Drosophila melanogaster: one gene and its partners. The protein of the gene in region 2 interacts with the protein of the main gene of each other region in a pairwise test. Each region holds a gene or a part of one and is shown on either strand. Other genes may lie near its edges.

Evidence for each region.
Region 1: the proteins of Rh2 (region 2) and RpL4 interact in a two-hybrid assay, tested with the Drosophila melanogaster proteins (one large-scale study listed by BioGRID).
Region 3: the proteins of Rh2 (region 2) and Ufd4 interact in a two-hybrid assay, tested with the Drosophila melanogaster proteins (one large-scale study listed by BioGRID).

Annotation. Positions count from the first base shown.
Region 1 is NT_033777.3:27,917,622-27,925,661, reverse strand, and holds RpL4 (ribosomal protein L4), read right to left. Parts: upstream 2,842-8,040; 5' UTR 2,746-2,841; coding exon 2,743-2,745; intron 2,538-2,742; coding exon 2,357-2,537; intron 2,293-2,356; coding exon 1,922-2,292; intron 1,748-1,921; exon of another isoform or gene 1,601-1,747; intron 1,523-1,600; coding exon 872-1,522; 3' UTR 774-871; downstream 1-773. Other genes in the region: BCAS2, read left to right, coding at 3,389-3,463, 3,531-4,292; CG12259 (uncharacterized protein), read left to right, coding at 4,668-5,747; Boh1 (buddy of Hmr 1), read left to right, coding at 6,379-7,404; mRpS22 (mitochondrial ribosomal protein S22), read right to left, coding at 7,479-8,040.
Region 2 is NT_033777.3:18,895,431-18,902,774, reverse strand, and holds Rh2 (rhodopsin 2), read right to left. Parts: upstream 3,353-7,344; 5' UTR 3,298-3,352; coding exon 3,199-3,297; intron 3,103-3,198; coding exon 2,186-3,102; intron 2,104-2,185; coding exon 2,070-2,103; intron 2,016-2,069; coding exon 1,920-2,015; 3' UTR 1,756-1,919; downstream 1-1,755. Other genes in the region: CG34284 (uncharacterized protein), read left to right, coding at 1-318; CG14294 (uncharacterized protein), read left to right, coding at 586-1,005; CG14297 (uncharacterized protein), read right to left, coding at 3,540-3,902, 3,965-4,138, 4,200-4,381, 4,449-4,482. UniProt on the Drosophila melanogaster protein: Visual pigments are the light-absorbing molecules that mediate vision. They consist of an apoprotein, opsin, covalently linked to cis-retinal.
Region 3 is NT_033779.5:10,287,522-10,296,072, forward strand, and holds the start of Ufd4 (ubiquitin fusion-degradation 4-like), read right to left. Parts: upstream 4,845-8,551; 5' UTR 4,689-4,844; intron 3,623-4,688; 5' UTR 3,586-3,622; intron 2,970-3,585; coding exon 2,830-2,969; intron 2,763-2,829; coding exon 1,043-2,762; intron 979-1,042; coding exon 747-978; intron 689-746; coding exon 470-688; intron 414-469; coding exon 1-413. Other genes in the region: hand, read right to left, coding at 5,260-5,340, 6,953-7,108, 7,342-7,538, 7,688-7,778; CYLD (cylindromatosis), read right to left, coding at 8,396-8,551. UniProt on the Drosophila melanogaster protein: E3 ubiquitin-protein ligase which accepts ubiquitin from an E2 ubiquitin-conjugating enzyme in the form of a thioester and then directly transfers the ubiquitin to targeted substrates.

The DNA of each region.
Region 1 (8,040 bases), 9.0 Mb from region 2:
GGCAAAAAAAAAAAAATATATATAAATGTTGTTGATGGAAAATGGTGGAGGAGACGGTTGGAGATGATGGCCGCTCCGCTCCAGCGTTCTCTCTGCGGGATGCCGATGCCGCTCTCGCTCTCCTGGCCGATCAGTGGTGGTGGTGGCTATATGGTATTGCGTTCTACTCAATATAACCAGACATTGGTCGCGACCCGCACATAGAAAATATCGTATGATCCGAGCTTTCAGATTTTGCGCGAGATAGCATCTACCTTTATTTTTGGCAAGCTGCTATATAATAAAGTGGGCTTGGAACCGGTTTACCGACTGCTACCTACTATGCTATGGTACCGTCGCGAAATTACATCGGTTAATTGAATCAAAAATATATATCCTTTGTTTCCCAGCCTTTTATTTGCCGCACAAAAGGGATTCGGTATATTCGCGATACGCAGAACCGCGCCAGTCGACCGTTCGCAGTCGAATAAGAGCGGCGACGACGCTCGACGCTTAATTAAATGCCAATTAACGTGTGACAATAAGTATATGTGCGGCCCATGGATGTGCGAACGTGTACGAAGACCAAGATCGGCATCGCCATCGGCGGCAGCACGACGGACGATAACGAAAGCTACAGCCGCCGCCACAGATACAGATGCAGATGCCATGCCGCTGTTATCAGCGCGAGCGGGAGAATGATAAGGGATGGGATCGCTCAGCGCGGCAGGCAAGACGACCAAAAAGAGAGCCAACTAAATGATGTGCCTAAGACTAAGAGTTTAATGAGCATTACTGTCGCGCACTCTATGTATTATGAATAAAATTCATACAACTTTTGTGGTTTATTATAATATAAAAGTGTGTCAGCTCTACTCGGGGGAAAGTAAGTTTACTTCTTGGCCGCTGGCTTCTTGGCGGCGACCTTCTTCTTGCGGGCGGCCAGCAGCTTGGCGCGATTGGCCGCAGCCTTGGTGGCCACATTGGCGAAGTGCGACTTGGCCAGCTCGACGTTCTGCTTCTTGGCCTTGGCCAGCACCTTGGCCACGGTGCGCTTCTCGGCGGCGAGGGCGGCACGACGCTTGAGGACCTCGGCATAGGGGTTAAGCTTGATCAGCTGGCGCACGTTGGTCAGGGGGTTCAGGCGGCGCACGCTGCGGAACACACGCTTGCGGGGATCGCGCAACACCTTGCGGATCTCCTCAGACTTGAGCAGACGCGACAGATCGGTGTTGGCCATCTTGGGCTGGGGCAGGTTGTAGCCCTTCTTCAAGGTGGACGGCTTCTTCCAGGTGCCGAACAGATCGTTCAGGCGGGCGAAAGCCGACTCGGTCCAGATGACAAAGCGACCGACATGACCGCCGGGGGCCAGCTTCAGCAGATTGAGCTTGTCCACGTTGATGGTCTCAATGCCGGGGATGTTGCGGAAGGCCTTGCGCAGACCCTCGTCCTTGTCGTAGACCACCAGGGGACCACGGCGAGCGATGCGGCGACGGTCGCGCATGGTACCACGGCCAGCACGGAAGCGCTGCGACTTGTACACCTGCGAAATGAATGAGAAACAAGTTGATAGTGAGTATGTATATTCCAGGAATTCGGAAATAGAGAACATGAATACAACAGCTGTTGCTCTTCCGTTACCACGATGGAAGCCGTGAATCAAGTTTCAATCGTAACGCCAAGAAGAGCATTTTATCTGGCAACGCAGGAGATCCCTGCAAGCATCGGACAACCAGAAGAGTAGCCAGTTGCTTGCACGCTGCCAAGTAAGATTTAGAAAGCATCCGAAAAGTAGGAATCCAATAAAAAGTTATAACTTTGCAATTAAAACATCACAACTTCACGTTTTGTTAAATAAATACGTTGAAGTTGAATAGACGCACAGTTAAGTGACCTAACATTCTTCGGATTAAGTTCTTCATAGGTGTACAAAGTTACCCACCTTCTGGATGTCAGCCCAGATCTTCAGGCGACGCAGGAAGATGACAGCCTGCTTGGTCTTCTGGACCTTTTGCACCTCATCGGACACGACCAGCGGGAACTCGGAGACGCCGTCGATGACATGTCCCTTGGACTGGACCAGAGCTGGCACTCCTGAGGCGGCGATGGCCGACACCAGGGCGTAGCGACGCTGGTTGACATTCACCTTGCGGTGCCAGCGACGGAACGTCTTGGTGGGGGCGAACATGCGTCCACCACGGCACATGTTGCCGAAGGCTCCCTGGCCGGAACGGTGGGTACCGCCACCACGCACACGGGGAATACGGGCCACAGCACGTCCGGTACCCCAGGACTCGGCGGAGGTCTGGTGACCTGCAAACAGGAATTCAAACGGGTTAGATTCACACAAAAGAGGAGTTATAAACAGTTTACTCACCAGCCAGCTCGCTGACGGCGTAGGCCTGTCGGTTGTTGCGGCGGAGCAGCTGGTGAACCTCGTTGACCACATCCGGACGAATGGGCGCCTTGAACACTGCCGGCAGGCATATGTTCTTGTCCTTGGCTGGCTCGTTCTTTTCCGTGTACACGGAGACCAATGGCCTGGCGTTGCCTAAGCTCTGAAAGTGCACATGGTATTCGGGTTTAGTTCACTGATCATTTCACATCACAAAACACAACAAGCGCATTTCGCCATCGCCGCACATTCCAAACACGTGGAGGTTAGGGCGACACTTTTGCACTATTTTCGCATCGTTTCGTGTGTTAAATCCAATGTTTTGGGGTCTGCTGCGGTTGCGGAGTGCCTTGTGCTTCGTTTCTCACCATTTTCGTTGATTTTCAAACCCAATGAAAGGTGCTAAATATTCTGCAAACGCAGATACCGTCCTCTTTTTATTAAGAAGAACGAAGAAAGAAAGAGAGCTGCCGGAAATGGCTGCCAATCGCGTTCCACGGCGCATGGTTGCATTTGCTAACAGCAGCAAGTGTCAAGCTTACAGGGCTAATTGGACGCTGTCCAACACTTTTAGCTTTTTTTTTCTCTCGTAAGAGAAGTTTTTGTTTATATTCTCGCAATTAAACTATAATATTACAAATCTAAATTCGAATTTATCAATAACGTATTTTAGTTAAATTTATAAATTAGCAATGCGTTTTTAAAGAACAAGAATACAATTGTTGTAATTTAACCGCATAATAAATAATCAAACAATACATAATACATACATACGTTAAAAACTAACTTACACAACTTTTATTGGTGAGAAAACAACGCTTATTTTTTGCTTAAATGTTCATGTTAAAACAAAAAAATTTACTAAATAGATATATGGCTATTAATTAACAGCATTCTGTTATCCGTTTATATAGCTATAAAGTAGCTAAATGTGCCACACTAGTGCGAAGCGGCAATTGTATTTGTTTACTTGCGGAAAAAACAGTCTCAAAACACAGAAATTAATAATAAATAATGGCTGGCGAAGTTATTGTGGATGCTCTGCCCTACATAGATCACGGCTATGACGATGTGGGCGTCCGGGAATCGGTAAATATACGGATATCCATGTTGCACGTTGAAACTGACTTTGAAATGGCATCTTCTTCTTCCAAAGGCTCTCGCCATGGTGGAGGAGGAATGCCGGCGCTATAGGCCCACAAAAAATTACCTTGACCATCTGCCACTGCCCGCCAGCTCGCCCTTTGAGACTCCGCTGATGGCCAACGAGTTCGAGCGCATCCAGAACCGCCTGCCCATGGAGACGCTCTCCATGAAGCGCTACGAACTGCCACCGCCGCCATCGGGCAAATTGTCGGAGGTGTCCGCCTGGCAGGAGGCCATTGAGAACTCGATGGCCCAGCTGGAGCACCAGTGGGTGCGCTCTCTCAACCTGGAGCTAATGCTCGACTACGGCACGGAGGCATGGAAGTCCTACCTGGAGGTCTTCACCGCCATGCAGGCGAAGGCGCAGCTCCAGCTGCAGCAGCTGAAGAAGGACATTCAAGATGTCAACTGGCAGCGCAAGCAGGCGCAAACGCAGGCCGGCGAGCGACTGCGCTCCCTGGAAGCCCATTGGGTGCTGCTGGTCTCCAAGAACTACGAGATCGAGACGGAGTGCGTCGAGCTGGAAAAGATCGTCCATGCCGCCCGTCAGCAGCTGCGGAAGATTACCCCGCCGCCCAGCGCCAATGACACGGCTCCAACGCCGGAATACACGAATGGTTTCGACCAGAACGATTTGGCCGAGAGCAACGGCAGTAGCTCCAGCAATCCAGATCCAAGCCAACCTGGCGATGATGGAACAGATGCCGATGGTGACAGCAAGGAGGAGGACAAATCCGAGGCACAGGAGGAATCTTCCAATGGATCAACGTAGATTTAGTACACTGAGCGAAAGCATGAAGCAAGTTAAAGAAAAACTTACGACTGTAACTAAATATAAAGGATATTAAAAAAAACAGCTAAAAATCTAAGATTTATCTTTATTTTTCAAAATCGTTGCAGAGAAATAGTGATCCTCTTCTTTTTGCTCTTATATCAGGGGAATGGACAGCTAGTAAATTTTAAATAATTTCAAGATTAAATATTTTATTATTTCAAATTGGTAAGGTAGTGTTTTGTGCTGTAAATTTTTTATACGAAGAATGGCATTTTTCAATGTTTCTGCTACGGTCACACCAATTGGATGTTTACAAATTTCGTTTACGAATTAAATAAAAAAAAATATAAATAAATACAGAAACAACTAAGGATGGCCCACTACAAAGGTGCCGCCAGCGAGGCGGGCCGTGCAGCCCAGCTGATGAAGAAGCGGGAGATCCAGCAGCAGGAGATCGAGTTTCGCAAGAAGAAGATCGAGGAGGAGCTCAAGCTGGACAAGATTGAGAACAAGTTTGCCACCCACTACGATGCCGTGGAGCAGCAGCTCAAGTCCTCGACCATTGGTCTGGTCACCCTCGACGAGATGAAGGCCAAGCAGGAGGATATAGTGCGGGAACGGGAGAAGAAGCTCGCCCAGAAGAAGGACGAAAAGGATCGGGAGAAGCAGCGCGCCCTGGAGGCCATTCAGGCGGAGAAGAACAAGCAGAAGCGGCAGATCCAGGCGCTGTCCTTCAACCTGGACGACGACGAGGAGGAGGAGGAGGAGGACGACGAGGATCACGATAAGAAACAGCTGAAGATTAAGCAGGAGGATCAGCCCAAGCCCAAGTGGACGGAGATCAAGGAAGACATTTTGCCCATAAAGAAGAAGAAGATATGCAAGAATCCTGACGTGGACACTTCCTTTCTGCCAGATCGCGAGCGCGAGGAGCAGGAGAACAGACTGCGCGAGCAGCTGCGTCAAGAATGGGTAATGCAGCAGGCGGAGCTGAAGGACGAGGACATCTCCATCACGTTCAGCTACTGGGATGGCTCCGGCCATCGGCGGAACGTGCTGATGAAGAAGGGCAACTCCATCTACCAGTTTCTGCAGAAGTGCCTGGAGCTGCTGCGCAAGGAGTTCATCGAACTGAAGACCGTAATGGCCGACCAGCTGATGTACGTCAAGGAGGATCTGATCCTGCCGCACCACTATTCCTTCTACGACTTTATCGTGACCAAGGCACGCGGCAAATCCGGCCCGCTCTTCCAGTTCGACGTCCACGACGATGTGCGCATGATAAGCGACGCCTCCGTGGAGAAGGAGGAGTCCCATGCCGGAAAGGTACTCCTCCGCTCCTGGTACGAGCGCAACAAGCACATCTTCCCAGCCAGCCGATGGGAGCCCTACGATCCCACCAAGTCCTACGACAAGTACACCATCAAGGACAAGGATAAGAGTAAAAAGTAGTGCTTAGGGCAGTTTCTGCCCGAATAATTGTACAATATAATAATGATTGATTTAATACATCAAAACAAACGAAAAATAACTACAATTTTTATTTGATTTTTCCACCAGATTTACAATCAGTTTAATTAAACTATTATAATAGGCATTGAATGAAATATAAAATATATAACAAATTTATGTTTGCTTAATACAATTTTGAATTCATTAGAAAATGTCATACTTCTCATAAGAATACCCCTAATTATTTAAAATGGCACTGTTAAGAGAACTTGTTGCTAAACAAATTTGGTAGAAATTTTAGTTTATAAACACAGTATAATCAGAGAACATGCAGTTATTCAGCACTTCGTATTGATTGCCATGAAAAAAGAACTGTTAGATTTATATTTTATTTTAATTTTTTAATATTCCAACTGTCATAATAGTCAAAAGAAGTCGGATATGGCGGGAAAAAAGCTAGCCCGCCAGCACCAATAGCAACATTGAATTTTTTGCGCCAGTAAAATTCGCGTCTTTTTATAAAAAGCAAGCGTAATTAATAACAAAAATAAAATAAGTTCCAAGTAAAATGTGAATTCATTTTTCGGATACGTATCGATTTAGTGCCATTTGAGAACCCCGAACCAACGAAATGTACCCGGCGCAACCGGCAAAGGTGGCGTTGGCCGGTCAACCGATATCCGCCGGAAAACCACCACGCCACAGCCCTGTTCAGATGAAGTCTATCCCTTTGCCCGTCTTCGAGCTGCCGGAATACGTGTGCGTGGAGACCAAGTGGGTGACACGCAAGTACGCGATAGAGAATGGCATTCCAGTGAAAGAACTGCATGCCCCGATCACCAATGGAGGCGCTACAGAGTCTCCCAAGAAATCCGTACAGCAGAAGAGACTCAACGAGGTCACTGGAATGTTTGCGAACGAGGCTATGGTGCCGCGCAGAGAGCGCGCCATTCAAACAGAGAATGCGGGCACTAAGGATGCGGGCATTCAATGCCGTCGCGATTCGGAGGAGTGGTATTTACCAGAGGAACGGCCAAAGGATACCGGTTCTGAGGCCTCCAATTCCGACAAATTTCTCACCTACGTGAGCGAGAACACATTCATATTTCCCAACGGCATGATGGAGTGCGCGGTGTGCGGCGATGTGGCCAAAACCTTGCTGGAGCACCAGAGCCACATGACCGCGCACTATGGACCTGGTGCTCTGTGCTTTCGCTGTGGTCAGCGTCTGGACCACCAGAAACAATTGAAGCAACACAGTCTGAGCTGTCCCGCTCTAGCGCCCAGGAAGTCATCGATGCTCTTTAAATGCCCACATCTACTCTGCAACGCCATGAGCCACTCAGAGATGCAGTTGCTCAGGCACCTGAGAAACCATAGCGGCAGGAAGTGCTACAGATGTCTTCAGTGCAAACGTTACTTCAAGACCACCACCTCTCTTTTGGTACACCGAAAAAAAGAACAGAGTTGTGCCAAGGCGAAAGTGGTCGTCCTATTTCGCGAACACAACGGGTTGCCCAATGGAAGAGGTGATCCCAGACGTTGCTCAGTTTGCTTGAAGCGTTTCAGCAGCGAGCGGGTATGCCTGCGGCACCGGAGACAGTGCATCCTTGGCCATTTTAGACGGCTGTCCAGGGTCCTCAAGAAGGAGCTATGAACAGCGTATAGAAATCTTGACCTAGCTGGTATTTATTAGTACATAGAAATCGATAACAATAAAGCGAATAGATCCTACGAAGCCTGGACGCCGTGAGCCTTTTTCAGTCCCTGGAACAGCATCAGTTTCTCCCGGTTAACTTCCTTAAGCGTCTGCACCGCCAGCTCCAGTTGCACCTTCTTCAGCGCATGTTCGCTGGCGATGTACTGCTCAATGAACTTCAGGCTGATCTCATCGGCGGCGAAATCGTGCTCCGTCTTGCCAATGGCCGTATGGATCTCCTGCTCAATGTTCTGCTTATTGTCATGTCGTCGGAAGACGCTTCTTAGCTCCGCCAGGGCACTTTCCGCCGGCGTGGCATGCAGTTTGCCCAGTTCGGTCAGCGTTGCCTGATACTCCACTGGGATGTTGTGTAGCTTGTAGCTCAGAGCAATCAGCTCCACGGCATTGTGCAGATAATCCCGACGGATCATGTCATACAGCAGGTCGTCGATGCAGCGGTGCCAAGCGTAGAAGAAGGCCATGGGTCCAAAGTGGCGGGTGGAGCGCAGAAGATCGAACTCCTTGGACTCGTTGAGATGCTCGAACACACGCGCTGAAATGTTGTGGAACTCCGGCTCATGTGGCTCGTACTGC
Region 2 (7,344 bases):
GTTGGCCAAAATGTGGCCGTGCAACAGTCAATTGATTGGGCCAATGAACAGTTCAAAATCGCTCAAGTTGTGGCCCAAGGAAAGCTACCCAACAGTGTTGAGGCCCGGAACGATGCCAATGACCAATTGGACACTCTGAAATTGGCTTTATCCCATTGCGAGGCTGAGCTGAAATCCACCCAAGGTGTCGATCTTCACAAGACTTGTGTTAAAGCCGTCTTCGCTGGCTTTTATACTGCCTTGGATCGCTTGGCCGCGGAACACTGGCCCATTTATGGAGCCACCTCTGGTGCCGCCCGAATTGGCTTCTTCTGCTAATTAACGTAATCATCTTACAAAGTTTAACCACATAGAGGAATATTTAGGAATCTCATAGAAGTCTAATATGTTATACAGATTTGGAATATGTTCGGAATAATAAAAAGTTATTAGGGTTGGATGGATTTGTTTTACTATGTTGTATTTCGTGCTTGTGTTTAAGGAATTTTACTTTTGTATAGAGATGTCAAGGTGTGTACTGCCTATGACAGCCATTTATTCTAAACAGAATCACAAAATTTTTTAGTTCGAACCACTTAGTGTACAATGAGTTGGCTGTCAACCATTTTCGGTATTATTTTGATAACACTTTTGTGTACGATATGGATAGCAGCGCATCCGCGATGGGAGCAAATGGCCAAAGCTGTGGCCTCCAAGATGAACTACGACGACCAGCATAGAATCCACACCGCATCTAGGGCAGCCAAAAACGTGGATGCGCAGATCCACGATTTCTACGTCAAGCTGGAGAATCAGAAGAAGGTTGCTGCCCGTGAAGTATTGGATAGTGCATACACTGAAACGACCAAATGCATCGAGGTATTCTACAGTGGTGAGCTGGAGCAAACGTTTAAGGACTGCATCGAGCACGTCACCCGTCTGCACATGGAAAGGCTGAGGTCACTCCTCCAAATTACCACTAAGCGACAGGCGAGCGGAGCAAGCAGACTTAAAATCTGGCACTGATAATACCCTGGAGTCTTCCCAGGATCGCTGGCAGGCAACGAGTCTGTTTTCTTTGCACCCAGTGCTTTCTGATGTACTTTAATTAGACAGTCAACTCGAGACCCGTCAGTGCAGCTTTTCATCTCAATCTGGGTGGGTGTGATTTCGGTGGGAGGGGATGGCATTCTAGTGCTCATTAGGCAAATGAGTGGTGTGGGTTGTGTAGGAGGCTGGAGGCCGTGGGTGGTGGCTGTTTCGTAATTATAATCATTAGACGCGAGACAAAACCCTCACAAAGCAAATAGCGACATTAGCTGCGTGGAAATGTGTGTCAATGAAGATGAATCTGCCCGAGACGCCAGGGAGTTGAACTCTGCGACTGGCATTGTTGATTTTGCAACGCTGGAGGGTCCGCCTTCGTGGAAGTTCAAAATTACGAGAGTTTTGGGTTTGGGGGACTAATGAGAATGCAATGAGTGAGTGGCAAAATGCATGCATATTTCCATTCACAAGTTCAATCATTTGCTGTGATTTAATTGCGTTCGTAGGAGATGTCGCTGAATACTTTGGGTATATGGAAGTCAGCATTGAATGGTGCAGCTTTTTAGAACTTAATGGGTTTAAAATTATAGCTATATATATATAGCTACATATATGTGTACGAGAAATTTGTATAATTAATAGTTTAAACACAAACTAGCCATTGGTAACAAGATTTACAACTTTACAATATTTAATACTATTAGAAATAAGTAAGTTTCAAAACAATTTGCAAACTAACTTTATTTTGTAAAGTTTTAGGAAACTACTTTTTGTTATACTGAGGTTTATTCCATTTTTTTTTTACATTTTTGTATCACTTTACGATATTGCATCACTTTTTTTAAACTTTTCTGTGCCCTTTGCAGGCAATTGCGTTGGTTTTTTTTCACGATTTAAGCCTTTGAATCCGCCTCAGATGTAGTTTCCGTATCGGAAGCGGGTGCATCCGGTTTCGGCTCATCCGTATTGCCAAACACACACATAGGGCACTAAAGGGCGAGAAAGGATTAGTGAATAACATTAGAATGGCTAAAAAGGTATACCTTTTCCTTGAGAACTATGCGGTACTTGGGATGGCTAAGGAAGTTAAGAAACATATAAATTAGATATAGATATCAAACGGAAATTGTTTTTTTTTTAAACCTATTTATTCACTCACCTAATGCCGTACACAATCGGATTGTAGACTGCGCTCGTTTTGGCGAAAGTCGCTCCCCAAATGGTCGTCAGTGGGGTCAATCCGTCGATTTTGAAGAGTCCGAAGTAGCAAATGACAAGGTATGGTGTCCATGCCATAAACCATAGGGAGATGGTAGTTAGAGCCACCTTGGCCAGTTTTCCCTCGGCACTTTTGTCGCAATCCTCAGAGCTCCGCAGGGATTTCACATTCATCTTCTTGGCCTGTTCCCGCATCGCTTTTTCATGTGCTGCCACGGCGGCAATGATGAACCAGTAGGAGTAGCAGATGAGAAACAGTGGAGTGTAGTAAACGAAGAGGGAGTAGGTGATTAAATAAGATCGCGGGTTCCACATACGCGTCATATAGTCAATGCTGCAGGCAGTCAGATTGCCCTCGGGCACATAGGCGCTCCATCCAATCAATGGCATGACAGTCCAAAAGACAGCCATCATCCAGATGAAAAGTATCTTCATTATAGACGTCTTGATGGTCATGGGTGTGCCATTGATACCCTTCACTATCACATTGTACCGATCGAAGGCAATCATGCACATGGACCAGATGGACACACAGCCAAAGAGCGAGCCACATCCCGCGTAGATGTCGCACCACAGCGGACCCAGCACCCAAGTCTCGTAGTAGAAGTTAATAATCATCACCGGCGACTGGGAGGCCATCATACAGAAGTCGGAGAAGGCCAGGTTGAGAACGAGCAAATTTGCCGGCGTGCGCAGCGACTTTGTTCCACCGAAAATGTAGACCACCACTCCGTTGCCGCAGCACGAGATGATCATAATGGCCAGGGTGAACAATCCCAGAATTTTGCTCATCATGGGATCCATGGGCGCAAAGCGGCTCCAGTAGGGGTTCACCAGGTGCGCCATGTCGGGCAGCACCTGCGGGATTGCAAGAAGGCAATAAGTTGAAGTGCCACCACAAAGGATTACAATTAAAACTAGAACTAACATAAATCATTTCCCCCAATCACTCACATTGTCCAGCACGGAACCATTGCCACTCGACTGGGCCTGAAACCTGGGCCCAGAATGGGCCAGGTCGAATGGCGTCTCCGGCAAATGACTGCGCTCCATGCTCAGCTACCCGCAACCCCTTTGACTAGACGATGGCTCATCGAAGTGGATCTGTGCCAAGAGGCCGAATTCCCAGCCCTTTATAGATGTTTGCTAACCCAATTAGCCGCTCATCAAAAGAGGCGCAGAAGACTTATAGACGGCGGACAGCTGCCAGATAAAAGTCAATTTTATTTAATTTCATACGCTACATAATCTAAGCGCAAGGTTAATTTGCCGCCTTTGAATATTAGTTCTTGACACTAAAGGGCAGCCAGAAATTTCTGTCCACATTTCTGGCACAGTTTTCGCTGCACTCCTTGGCTGCAGGATGGCATCGAGGTCTTCGAGTTGGATGGGTCGGTCGACGAGGACATCAGTCCACCGGAGGATCTTATCTCCGTGTTTAGCAGATATATGCCACTGTTGTTATGGCTTGTTTCCGTCAAGTGATTCGCCTTGGCCGAGTCCTGCGGCGCATTATCCTTGCCAGAGTAGTAGAGCTCATCATCATCAGTGCTGGGTAGCTCGTACTTGACAATGTCCACTTTTTGGCTAAGGATGAGCTGCTTGCAGCACTCTTTGATTTGGTAATAGGCGGATCGAAAGTTCTTTAGCTTGTGGGTCTGGATGGATTGCAATTGTTCGACATATACAAGTGGGTTGCTTAATGCTCAAATTAACTCACTGGGGATAGGCTGTCTATAAAGGCCGGCAGTCCATTCTTGCCAAACGAACTCAGAAGAAGTACCTGACAGTGTTTGCCAGCCCTGTTGTCCGCAGCCCAGAGGAGCAGTTCTTTGAACACGGCCTCATCCATTGCCACAACATAATCAAAGTACAGAAAATCATTCACGGTGAACTATAGAAGTAAGAATCTATACATATGTGGAGTTCATAAGTTGGCGCTAGGATAAGTTCACCTGACGACAAAAGTGATCGGATCGCAGTCCGTGCTCTCGCAGAATTTGCAGGCATCGCTTGTTCGGTCGCCGTCCAGTGTTCCATGTCCTCAGACCGGCACTATCCACCTCCCAGTAGAGACTCGTCTTGACCATCAGATTCTGCATAATCACCTCGGCCATCGGAGAGCTGCACGAGTTGCCTTCGAAATGACGTAAGTTTTTCATGCAAAATGGCAAAGAAATTGAAAAGAAAATCTCATTTCTTACCCATGCACACAAATAGTATTTTCTTGAAAGTCATTTTTATTTTTCTCTTTATACGTTTTACTTGGCTAAATTCTCCCACTTTCAACTATAATTTAAACTAATTTTCCTAACTTCTTTTTCGAGACTTATGTTGTATTTGACTGAGTTTTTAAATTGCCTGAAATACATGTCGAACGGAACAAATGACACGGCTTACTGGGTGGACTTCCTTTGCCCATTCAATCTACTGAATGGCCTGCTCCGTTTAGCCCAATGAACTCGACGCCATGGTTGGAGTAAATGACCATTTGCTAAGATAATCATTCCCACTAATGCACTTTTTACACCACTTGCAGTTCTCTCAACCCATTGAGGTCCTTTGTCAGGACAATGCTTGTTCTGTGCTCGTGTGCCACGCCCACAAACCCATTATTCTGCCAGAAAGGGGCGGGTGGCAAGATAGTGTCACGTGGCTGTCAGGTGTTGGCCCACGTACAGTCTTGTCGCGAGATGCATTCGAAATTAGTCAACAGGTTCAGCGAACTTCCAGCAAAGGTAAGGAAAATTGGACGAGAAGAGGGCCAACTCCAGTCATGTATGTTAAATGGGCAGAAGACATGCACTAAACTTAAAGCAGTTTGGCTTTTAAGATGCATGATTATAGTAATACAACACTAAAGTCATAGTCCAATACAAATTTATTAAATATGAAATTTAATCTTTTCGCTACTTCCGAGATTAAAGACAATTTGTTTTTCCGTGTAGTAATGATTGACCCAATCCCTGCTTATACTGATGTCATTTCACGATGACACTTCAGCGCACAATACAGTTGGAATTCATTTTAATTCAGTCTCAATTAAACGACTTCTGTGTGAACTCTCGGATCAATTTTGAACATTTCAGATGGCGAAACACTATGCCAGCATTTTTTTTTTTACTCTTTATTTTTATTTCGATTTACCTTGCCCCTTGTTGAGACGAGTGGAGCGATGGGGTGGTTGGCTTGTAACTTGGCCATTGGCAATATCCAATTGGAATTGCATTGAACGACTAAATTGAAAATGCAGCTGAAAAAGCATATTTCACTTATCACTTTTCACACAAAACACACAAGCAAAGGCCAAAACAAAGGGCACTCTGGCCAAAAGGGGTGGCCGGCCAGTTGGTGCCAGGAAAAGCGGGCCAAATGAAATTGTAAGCGCAAAAGTAAAGCACAACAGCAACATGCAGTACACTTGCAACAGCAACAGCAACAACAACGCCAGCGAAAACAGCAACAAGTCACTCACGAACCGGGTGAGTGGGAAATAATATGTGTGCTCGCATGCAGGATGGCTTGTGGGTGGTTGGGTGGTGGTTGAATGGCCTGGGTGGTGCAAAGCGGGTTAGATGCCGGACAGAAGTGTGGCTCTGGCACTGCATTGTTGTTTTAATTAAAAACAAACCTACCGAGCTGCTGGCCCGACAAAAAAAAAAAACAAAAAAGAAGCTGGCAAAAAAAGTAAAGCCAAAGTGAGCAACCTGAGTGGACAAAAACGAAGGCGGGTGGTGTGTGTGGTCCTACGCTGGTGCCTGAGCGAAAGTGTTGAATATTTGGAGCAAAGCTAAAAAAAAAAAACACAAACACACAAGAAGCAAATTGTGGAAAAAAATCCGAGAAAAATGTAGCAACGAAATAAAGAAAACCCAACGGACACACAACCGGAAATGTGCGACTATCTGCTCATACATATGTAAGTGTGGCCGCTTATGTGTGTTTGCTGCATTGCAACAACATTGGCTAATAGCAACCGTAATGCTGTGGCAGCATTTCGACCAAATTAAGGTATGAGCCACACCTAATGGCACTTTAAATGAAGCAGCCGAGTTGAAAATGCGAATAAAAAATGAAGAACAAATGAAGCTCAGGCCCGACCTGGCTGGCAAATGCATTTTGTTGACCACCGAATGCAATTTACAGCACAACAATCAGAGGTGAGCGCAAAATGTGGCAACTGCCCCCAAAAGAAACTAATAAAACACACAACTTTGTTGGCCCGGGCCGCCCAGGAGCTGCATTAACTGACCAGTGAGTTGGTGTAACATACACACATATATATTGTACATAGGTGCAGTCAGCAACAAAAGGGGCAACAAAGGGAGGCAACCAATGTGCTGCAACAAGAGGTGGTACAAAAACATCAACAGCATCCTCATAGTTTTGGCCACAAAGCATACACAATTAGACATGGAGCCCGAGTAGACAGGTGAAGAGATGTGAGTGGGCCAAGGGGCTGGTTGGATGGATGAAGTGGGTGAAAAGCTGAGTGGGTCGGAAAAGTGCAGCGCGTTTGCGGGCATTTCTCGCTGATTGAGGTTCAGCGTACACACATACATATATACACATACGTATGTATTTCCGGATTTGCTTTTTAAAATTAAATTTGCCGTGAGCACATGTGAATATATGTTTGTAGTCTAGGACTTCATCCTTGCTGCTGCTGAACGGCGCCAGAGGTCCTTTTTCGTTGCTAAACAAACGCCAAACTACAACCACTTTGTATGGGATTTTACTGTGCGTTCAGGTGTGAAAATTAAATTAAATTGTTTGCCCAAAAGGGGCGTGGCACTGTGTTAGCTAATTCCATGCATATGAATGCGGGCACGATAAATATTTATTGTCGCCACAGTCAAAAGAGCTGATTTAAAACTTTACAGTTTCATTTGCACAAAAATTAGGCGTTGAGAAAAAACTCAGAGATTAAACAATGCCACTTTGAGATTACATATACATTGACGTTCAAAGATTACGTACACTGACAGATTAAACTATATTAGTAATTATAAAGAGCTACTATCACATGTAGTGACGAAGCGCAGCTCAAGTGTGCGAATGCCACTGCTATGAATGTATGCATACATGAAAAAATTAAAA
Region 3 (8,551 bases), on a different chromosome or scaffold from region 2:
TACGGCGCCCCGAGGAATTATTTGCGCAGACTTGAAGTACTTGTTATAAATTTCCCGCGATAGGTTTCGAACCTGGAACTTTTGACCCTCTGTCTTTGACTTGTTGCGCTTCTTTTTGGCTGTTGACCAACCGGATGCAAAATCGGGACCCAGGACAGTTTCTGCCGAGAAGGTATGCTTCGTTCCTCGATTGCTTTCAAAAATAAAACCGGGCAAATCGTCCTGCAACACGGTAACTTGATGACCTTCGGTGTTGTGAATTTGTAGCTGGTTTGTTTTCTGCGACTGTAGAACCCAGTTGCCAACAACTAGGCGCAGAGCACTCGCAGTGGGCAAAATGGGCTGTGATACAACTCCTGCAATCACGCAGGACCGAGCACGCATCAGTTTCTCAAGAAACTCGCCCCGATTTTCTAAAAACAAACAGAAAATTTAATAAATTTTTTATCTAGCAGATTTTAACACTTACCAGAACTATCATTTCCGTTCTCCGGACTGCCACTGGAGTACATCGTTGCCAGTTTGCCATCTATGATGAAGCGGAACCATCCGTTTGAGCCATTGGACAGCTCAAGGGCCACAGAATCTGACCAGACGTACAAACAATCCCGGCCTCTGCAAATGCTCCACTCGCGCCAGTGATAGGGTTTCCCTTGCAATATCTCCTTCGCGTCCTCCATAGGATCATCTACATGGGATGGTCCGATCGATAAGAATTGGTTTCAAATCAAATATATTGAATATACCTGATGTTGGCCTAGGAGCAACGACTACACTGGTCGACGATCTTTGCGCTGCGGCTGGTTCCTCTACGGTCCCTGGTAATTGTACATACAATTCCTCCGCATCGGTGTCCATCAGGGCTTGGACCTTTGCAAACACTCCTAGCCTTGCAAAATGATCGAGGAATTCCTCCTGTGTCTTACACATAATTTCCTCAATAATATTTAAAACTATTAAATGACCGTCACCGTCATCCTGCAACAATATCGTTAAAGATAGTAATTAGATTTGAGTGATGATGACTGCTTATTGTTTATACCTCGTTATCTAGGACACTGGCGATCACCTCAATTAGTAGGTTCCCACCATTTTGACCCGATGTCGACGCTGCATCTTCGCTAAAACTGGTTTCACTGAGACTTTGGAGCACCGTTGGGTACGCGTACTGAACTATCTTTTTGATCAGGGCCAAACTGGCCCGCCGGACGCTGCCCAGCATCGAACCCAGGAACGTTCTACAGAATATGGGCAGAAGGACCTTTAGGTAAATGGGCGCCATTTCCGGATCACCTCGGGGCTCCATTAGTGTGTACTTTTTGCCATCTTTGTTGAGAAGCGAATGATCTGGCGACATCCACTCCCCAGGCGACTGCAAAATTGCCGCTACCTCTCGATGTCCATCGTCTAATCTTTCTCGCGCCTTATCCAATGGCGTTTTCCCATCTTCATCTCGCAAATCCGGATAGGCTCCGAATTTCAAAAGGATTTTCGCAATAGCCGGGCGACCAAAACAAGCTGCATAGTGTAGGGACGAACTTCGTTGACCCTTGTTGACATCGGCTCCCTTCTCACACAAATATTCTACCATTTCCAAGGTACCGAAGGCCGAAGCCCAATTGAGAAGTGTTTGGCCCACATCGTCCATACAATTGACGTCAATGCCACCCGATTCGATGGCCTCACGAAGGGCTTCCGAATCCTTTGATCGTATGCAATCAATGAGCTGGCGATGCGTGCGATCGGTGTTGGTATTATTACGCCTTGGTCGAGGCGCCAACTGTCCCTGATTGGGGTTGTTACTTCCTCGGTTTAATGCTTGGCGACCCTCGAACAATAGTAACAGCAATAGATCCGCAAATCGCATGCAATCCAACACGCATCGCTCATCGCCCTGCAGAGCTCTTTCGAGGGCATCAGCCAATTGGGATCGCAAAATGTCATGGGTAATCGAGGGTGATCCGCGACAAAGTGTGGACAACAAGGAAATCGTTGTTGATATCGATTGCGGCGAGGCGGCGGCATCAGATGACTTAACCTTGGTGCTGTTGGATATGGTTGCAGTTCCAGCAACGTTTTCATTAATGGCATCCGAGTTTGTGGTTGCAGCGGGTTGGCTAGAGCTGGTTGGCTGGGTTCCAGCCGCTGTCAGCGAAGAGTGCGTGTTTCCTCCGACACTTTGGAGGCGCTTCAACAACTCGGTTGTCAGGCCGTACTCTGCCAACGGTGCTGGGTCCACCCACTTTCGTGTAAATCGATCTGCTACAGAGGCAAAGCACTTTAGAGCTCCATCGGATACCATGGGGTCCTCGTGTTGCAGCAGAGTGCTCAGACTCTCGACGCAGTTTTGTATGCATGGAGTATTAGGTTCCACCTTGGTGCAGAGCCTGGATACCACCGACATGGCCGAGTGTAAGGTGTCCTTGTGAACCTGCGAGCCACAGTCCCGTATGAAGGACAGTACGCAGTTGAGGCCGCCGCCCTCGAAGACGGCGCCAGCTTCTCGGGTGCAAATCAGCTCGAGCACTTTGATACATTGCTCGGCAAGATCGCGAGATGTGCGCGATGATAGATCGGCGACCACTAGATGATTGCATATGGCTTTGATGGCGCCATCAATGGAAACGATACGCCTGGTGCACTCAGCCGAAACATCCAGGTAATAGGTGATGGCTCGCGCAGTGACCTCGAGTACATTTTCAGGTGCAAGTTCGTCCAGGAATATCTTACACAACGCCGGTAAAAATGTTCGAGGAGGGCAGCTGATGTTGGGGACGGACAGATTAGATAGTGATCAAATGGTAAATCTTCTATCGCTGACAATAATACCTTTCGAAGCAACGATCTACATTATCGGACATTAGGAGCAGCATACACAGCTGCTCCAGTGCGATTAGTTGCATATCCCGCTCATCTCCTTGTCCCATGGACAACCATTCCAGCAGCGTCTCGGGGTCGACATCGCCCATCTGTAAGGAAAACAACAACAAAATTTTGAATATTGACTTTAAAGCTGACTTTATTATACATGTAATGTATTGACAGCTGAGTCACAAATCATCAAAAGAAGACGTGGAGCCTTTTAATGGGTGCCTTACGTGTAGTTCAACTAAAGAGGAATAGATACTTAATATATGGACTTGTAAAACAGACAGGGCAGAAGAATATATATAAGAAATAATATACAATATTCCGGACAGTTCTTTCAAATTTTGGATGATCTGAACTAAATCTTTACGTGCGATTTAAATCTTAAATTCACAACCTGAAGATCTAATTTTTGTTAACTTTTGTTAATCGAAGTCATAAAAAATCAAACATCTAGTTTGTAAAAAAGAACGTAGATCTTTGGGACTTATATTTATTTATATATAAACTTTAGTTGCTTGCGTTTTATTTTGTTTTTACTCAGCTAATTACTGAGCACAGCACGTAATTATTTAACGTAGACAGCAGAATTGATAACATTTACTTTTCCAATGAATTAGAAAACGTCATAGTTCTTGAACATAACTTATTGTTTTTTAATTTGTTTAATGCTTTACTTAACAAAAAGTATTTAATATGTATGTATATTTAACTTACCGCAAATCGAAATTTGATTTATGCTTCTACACCAAAACTGAAAAAGAAAGGAATTATATAGACATTAACAATAATATTCTAATGACTCACGGCTTTCATATAAATTATTTATTAACATACGAGAAAAGTATAAAAAGGGTTCTGGACTGAAATAATTTTATCTAGTTGATAGGACAACTTTGGGTTGCTAGGCGTTTTTTGATTGGTAAACAAAGATAATATTACAATTTTAAATAAAAAAAACAAAAATTGAGTCAGCAAGTCGTTCCTTATGGGAATCGTTTCTTATAAGTGTGTACGTATTTCATCATTCTTATAGAGACTTATTGGCAATATTGGATTAGCCAATTGGATAAGAAATCTTTCCTTTTTGGGGAACCCGAATTGCCAAATGCACACATGGCGGACAAAGAGATAGTTGGAGGGAAATTGCGTAGTGCCATCTTAACTCAATAAAATTTCACCGCGATGACTCGAAGTTCGTCAAGTGATGTTATAATATATGTATGCACATATGTACGCTTGTACGTACATATGCGAATTGTTTTCATACAAGATAACGGTAAGTGCTAAAAACTGTTTTGAAAATCAACAACATAAGCATATGTACATCGATATGTACCGATATACACATACACATATGCATGTATGTAATCACTTTTTCAATTACACTTGATACTTTTTCTTGCACATGATAATAACGATGGGTATCCCGTTTTACGTTTTAGCATTACACAAAAGGTAATTTCATTTTTATGTGAAAAGAGAATTTAAAGAATCGTGTAAAGAATGATGACACTTTACGATTTTCTCTCCTTCAACGAATTACCAGTTGTGTATGTATAATTTAAAGACCTTTCTTTTCTGATAGCCCAACAATGGAGTTACATAAAAACGTAGTTGTAATATCCATTGTCTTTGACCAGGTATGTACACTAGTCACAATACATATGTGGACCACACGAAAACATGTGCACACGTAATGTAATTGTCCATTATTTATTAACATTAAGTGTCGTGTCTCTGCTCACACACATACATCCATATGCAAAAGAAAAATACACAAATCTTGAGAAAATTGTTGTTGAATAGAGATGATCTACCTTTTTTGCATTATATTGAATATTTTGCTAATGCTTGCACTCTTTTTTAAAGCTGCTTATTAAAGCTTTTTAACAATTACTCAATACACAACACTATTTTTATTCACACAAATATCTAGCAGCACAGCTCGAAAATTGATTATAGAGATTACATGTGGACGATACATTTAACAATCCATCGATAACCGATAACATTGGTGGCCAAGAAATAGGGGCATTCGTGGCCCTCAATCGTTTAAGCTTTTGTTTCCCATAATATAATATCTGGGTATTGACTTCCAAATCCCACATTCAAATGATTATTATTTTTATGAATCTTAGAGCAAGTTAAAAAAAATTTTTTAGATAAATTTTCTACCAAGTCTTTTTTTACGTAAAATATACTTATACTTTTTATTTGCTGACAACAATTTCAGGTTAGCCAAATTAAGTATTCTGCTTAATTAAACAATAAAAGGAACGTCTTTATACTGCTTGTTTATTTGTTTATTATTTTTCTTGTTGTTTTAAATATAGGTTATCAATATATATACATATATAGAATGAAATATTATTTTTGCAAAATATGGGTTTAATTATGTTCTGGAATAAGTTCCGATGCCCAAACATCTTGTGGCCAACCCGTGCGGCCCTTGGTCGACAATGGAACATTCTGAAATATAAATTGTCATTATTAATTGGAACAAATAGATCATTTATTATGCACATGCATGATTTTACGAAAATCTTTTAATTGAATCTGTTACATTGCTTGCAAAACCGTTAACCGAATTGTCGAAGACGAAAATGTTCTTCATTTTTTGTTATTAGGATATACGTATTTCTTTTATGTTTTTAGCTATATCCCAACTACGGTTAAGAATTGCATACTTTTCAGACCCATTTATGTTAAATATCTAATGAATTTAATCCAAATGTCTGCACACTTTTCAAAACTATGTCGAATTTGAGTACATGACTATTGAAAACTCGAATTGTGGATTTCAAAGCATTGCATTTGAGTAACTCAATTTGTTTATACAGGTCATAGTTTTCTTTTTTTGTATACAACTTGTACCCACAAATAGACAATTAAGAAGTAAACAAAAATTTAACACGTGCACGGAAGCACTATGGAAACACTTTACTTTTTTATTTAGAAATGTAGTTCACTTCTAATTGTTTGTGAGTCCCAGATAAAGACAACATCCACTGGAAAATAGTTCTTATCCTTTTTTAAATTTAACAACTAATGTTTTGTTTTCTTTACTTCTTTTGTCAATGTCAATGTTATAAAAACTATCTTTATGAAATACTTAAGCAAAGCTTATAGGTTCAAAAAATTTTAATAAAAAAGAATACTTCAAAACTTCAATATTTCCAAAAAGGCACTTAATTAATCAAACCCCTAATGGATTAAAATGTTTCTGAAGCACCACTTAGACACTTGTCTCTTGTGTTCATATCTAAAACCAGATTGCCCTATTAAATAAGTGTTCCCAGCCATTATTTCACCCCCATTTTATGAAGGAGGCGGTTGGTTAGCATGGATTCTCAATTACGGATGCAGGCGTCTGCGGTTTATCACTTCCGAAATTGCACAATAAAGTACAACTTACAACTGGTCACTGGACCTGTGTACATATATTTCGAAACCCGATTTTTGAAGCTAAACATGGCACCGCACTTCCATTAGGAATATATCTACAATCAATCGAGTTTTTATCTGCGGATTACAAGGGGAATGGAATTACGCCTATTTCTTTGAGGGAAAAACGTAAAATGCTCTTTTATAAAGTCAAGTGCTTTTGTTTCTTATAATAAACAAACAATTGAGATATCTACGCCCCAGTGCAGAAAAAGGGGGAGAAAATATCTTGTGTACCATAAAAATACAAATTCCGAGCAGAGATCTCAACGAAATGAAAAAGCCAAATAGAATAGTAGAACTATAACTATATATCAATGCAAAAAAACAAACAATACGCCCCTTATAGCGGGAACATTGTCTTTATCTATATCTTTGTACAACAAAAATCAGCAAGCCAATATGTTTTTTGAATGAAATATCAATTAGGTTATGGTATCTTAACTCATTTACCTACAGTAAAAACAAAAAAGATTTTTAATAATTTTTTTGTTTGAATGCATGAAAAGCGGCAAAAATATGTATGAATTGTTATTCCGCCGGATAAACTTAAATCCAAAATTCAAAGCGATCAATTTAAATATATGTAGTGATTGGTTTGTTATTGAAAGCATGACAAAGTAAATTACTCTCTTACTTGAATCTCTGATTTCAAACAGTGCTTCTTTTCGCTACAGATCTTTCGACTGACCGGCTTAAGTTCGGCTCGAAATCCGCCTTTTGGATCCAGATCTCCATCAAGAACATTAACTAAATAGTTTATGTACAATATGGCCAACTTCAATGTTTTAATCTGTCAAGTAAACCAAGCAAACGGACACAAACAAACTTCAAATTTATAAATAATTGAATAAGTTATTATAAAATATATTTTTCGCTGGCTATTTTATCTTAATTCTTAAACAAAGTAAAAGTAGAATATAGTTAAGATTGACTTAAGTAGGAAACATTAAAATCCAACCTTCATGTGCTTATTGGTGTATTTAAGTATTAAATTCAAGATTATCTATCCGTCGGTGAAGTTACCTTTGATAATTTAGTATCTGTAGGAACGTTGGGAATCTTTTCTCGCAGATAGGAAAACGCATTGTTTATACTTTGGGTTCGCCTTCTCTCCTTTTTGTTAGCTGTATTACGTTTCTTAACAATCCGAGTATTCGAAGTTGGCACATAACCTAGGTGACTTGTGTTATATATTTGTTGCTGAACTTGACTTTCGGAGTCTGAAATATTTGGAAAATATATACATTATTTTCCATACACACGAAAATATAAAATAAAAGTCGCTTTTGTACTGGAATTGGTACCACAAATCACTGTCCCAATTTTATTTAAATAACAGCGAAGTAAGAAGAATGATTTAAACATTTACGTTTCATGTCGAACATGTTGGAAGTATTATAAATTGAGTTATAATACATGGTTGAGTATTCGCACGTCAAGGCAACGGAATTCTTAAACATTTTCTAATTTAACGTAATTAAATTCAAATCAAATTCGCGGCTTAAGATCGACATTTTCGCAGATAGTGCGTCGCACGTAAAACTCGTCTTTGATGTCTGGCAAGTAACTGAAAAACTTTTTCACTTGTTTAGTGAATGTGCGCCGTCGAGTGAACAACATCTGGATATCCTCCCTCCAAATCCACCAATCGCAATCGCCGACGTTTTGCGTCGACCAATGGTGGGCACTTCAAGATTTATATGTATGTATGTACTCCCGTGTATACATACATCCATATATATCCGGAATATGAACTGCCTTTCATGGTCTAGTGATCCGTAGTTCTCTAGATGGTTCAGTCCTGTTTCTGGAGTCACCTTGAAAACTTCTCCTAACAAAAAGCACTTCCTAATTGTTACAAACTTTTTGTAAAAAAAATATAAGCTACTTGGTATATTAGTTATAGAAAACCACCTATCTTTATTTTTTCCTGTTATATATGTAAAGCCTACCCATATTAATATCATAAAACATATTTTTCAACAAACCAATAACCATTAATAGGCACAAAATCCATTTCACATGTGATTTTTACAAAAATTTTATTGCATTCATTTAATTTATTGATAAATTTGCTCTAATGGTACATCATTATATCTGTGCTTTGGTACAGACACATATAGGCATCGCAAAAAATACGCTTGGCGTGTTCAGGTAATACTTTATCGTTCGTTGAAGTTTCATTTATAGATCGTGCGCCTTCTTCCGAGAGCCACTGTGTTAATTCTGGAAC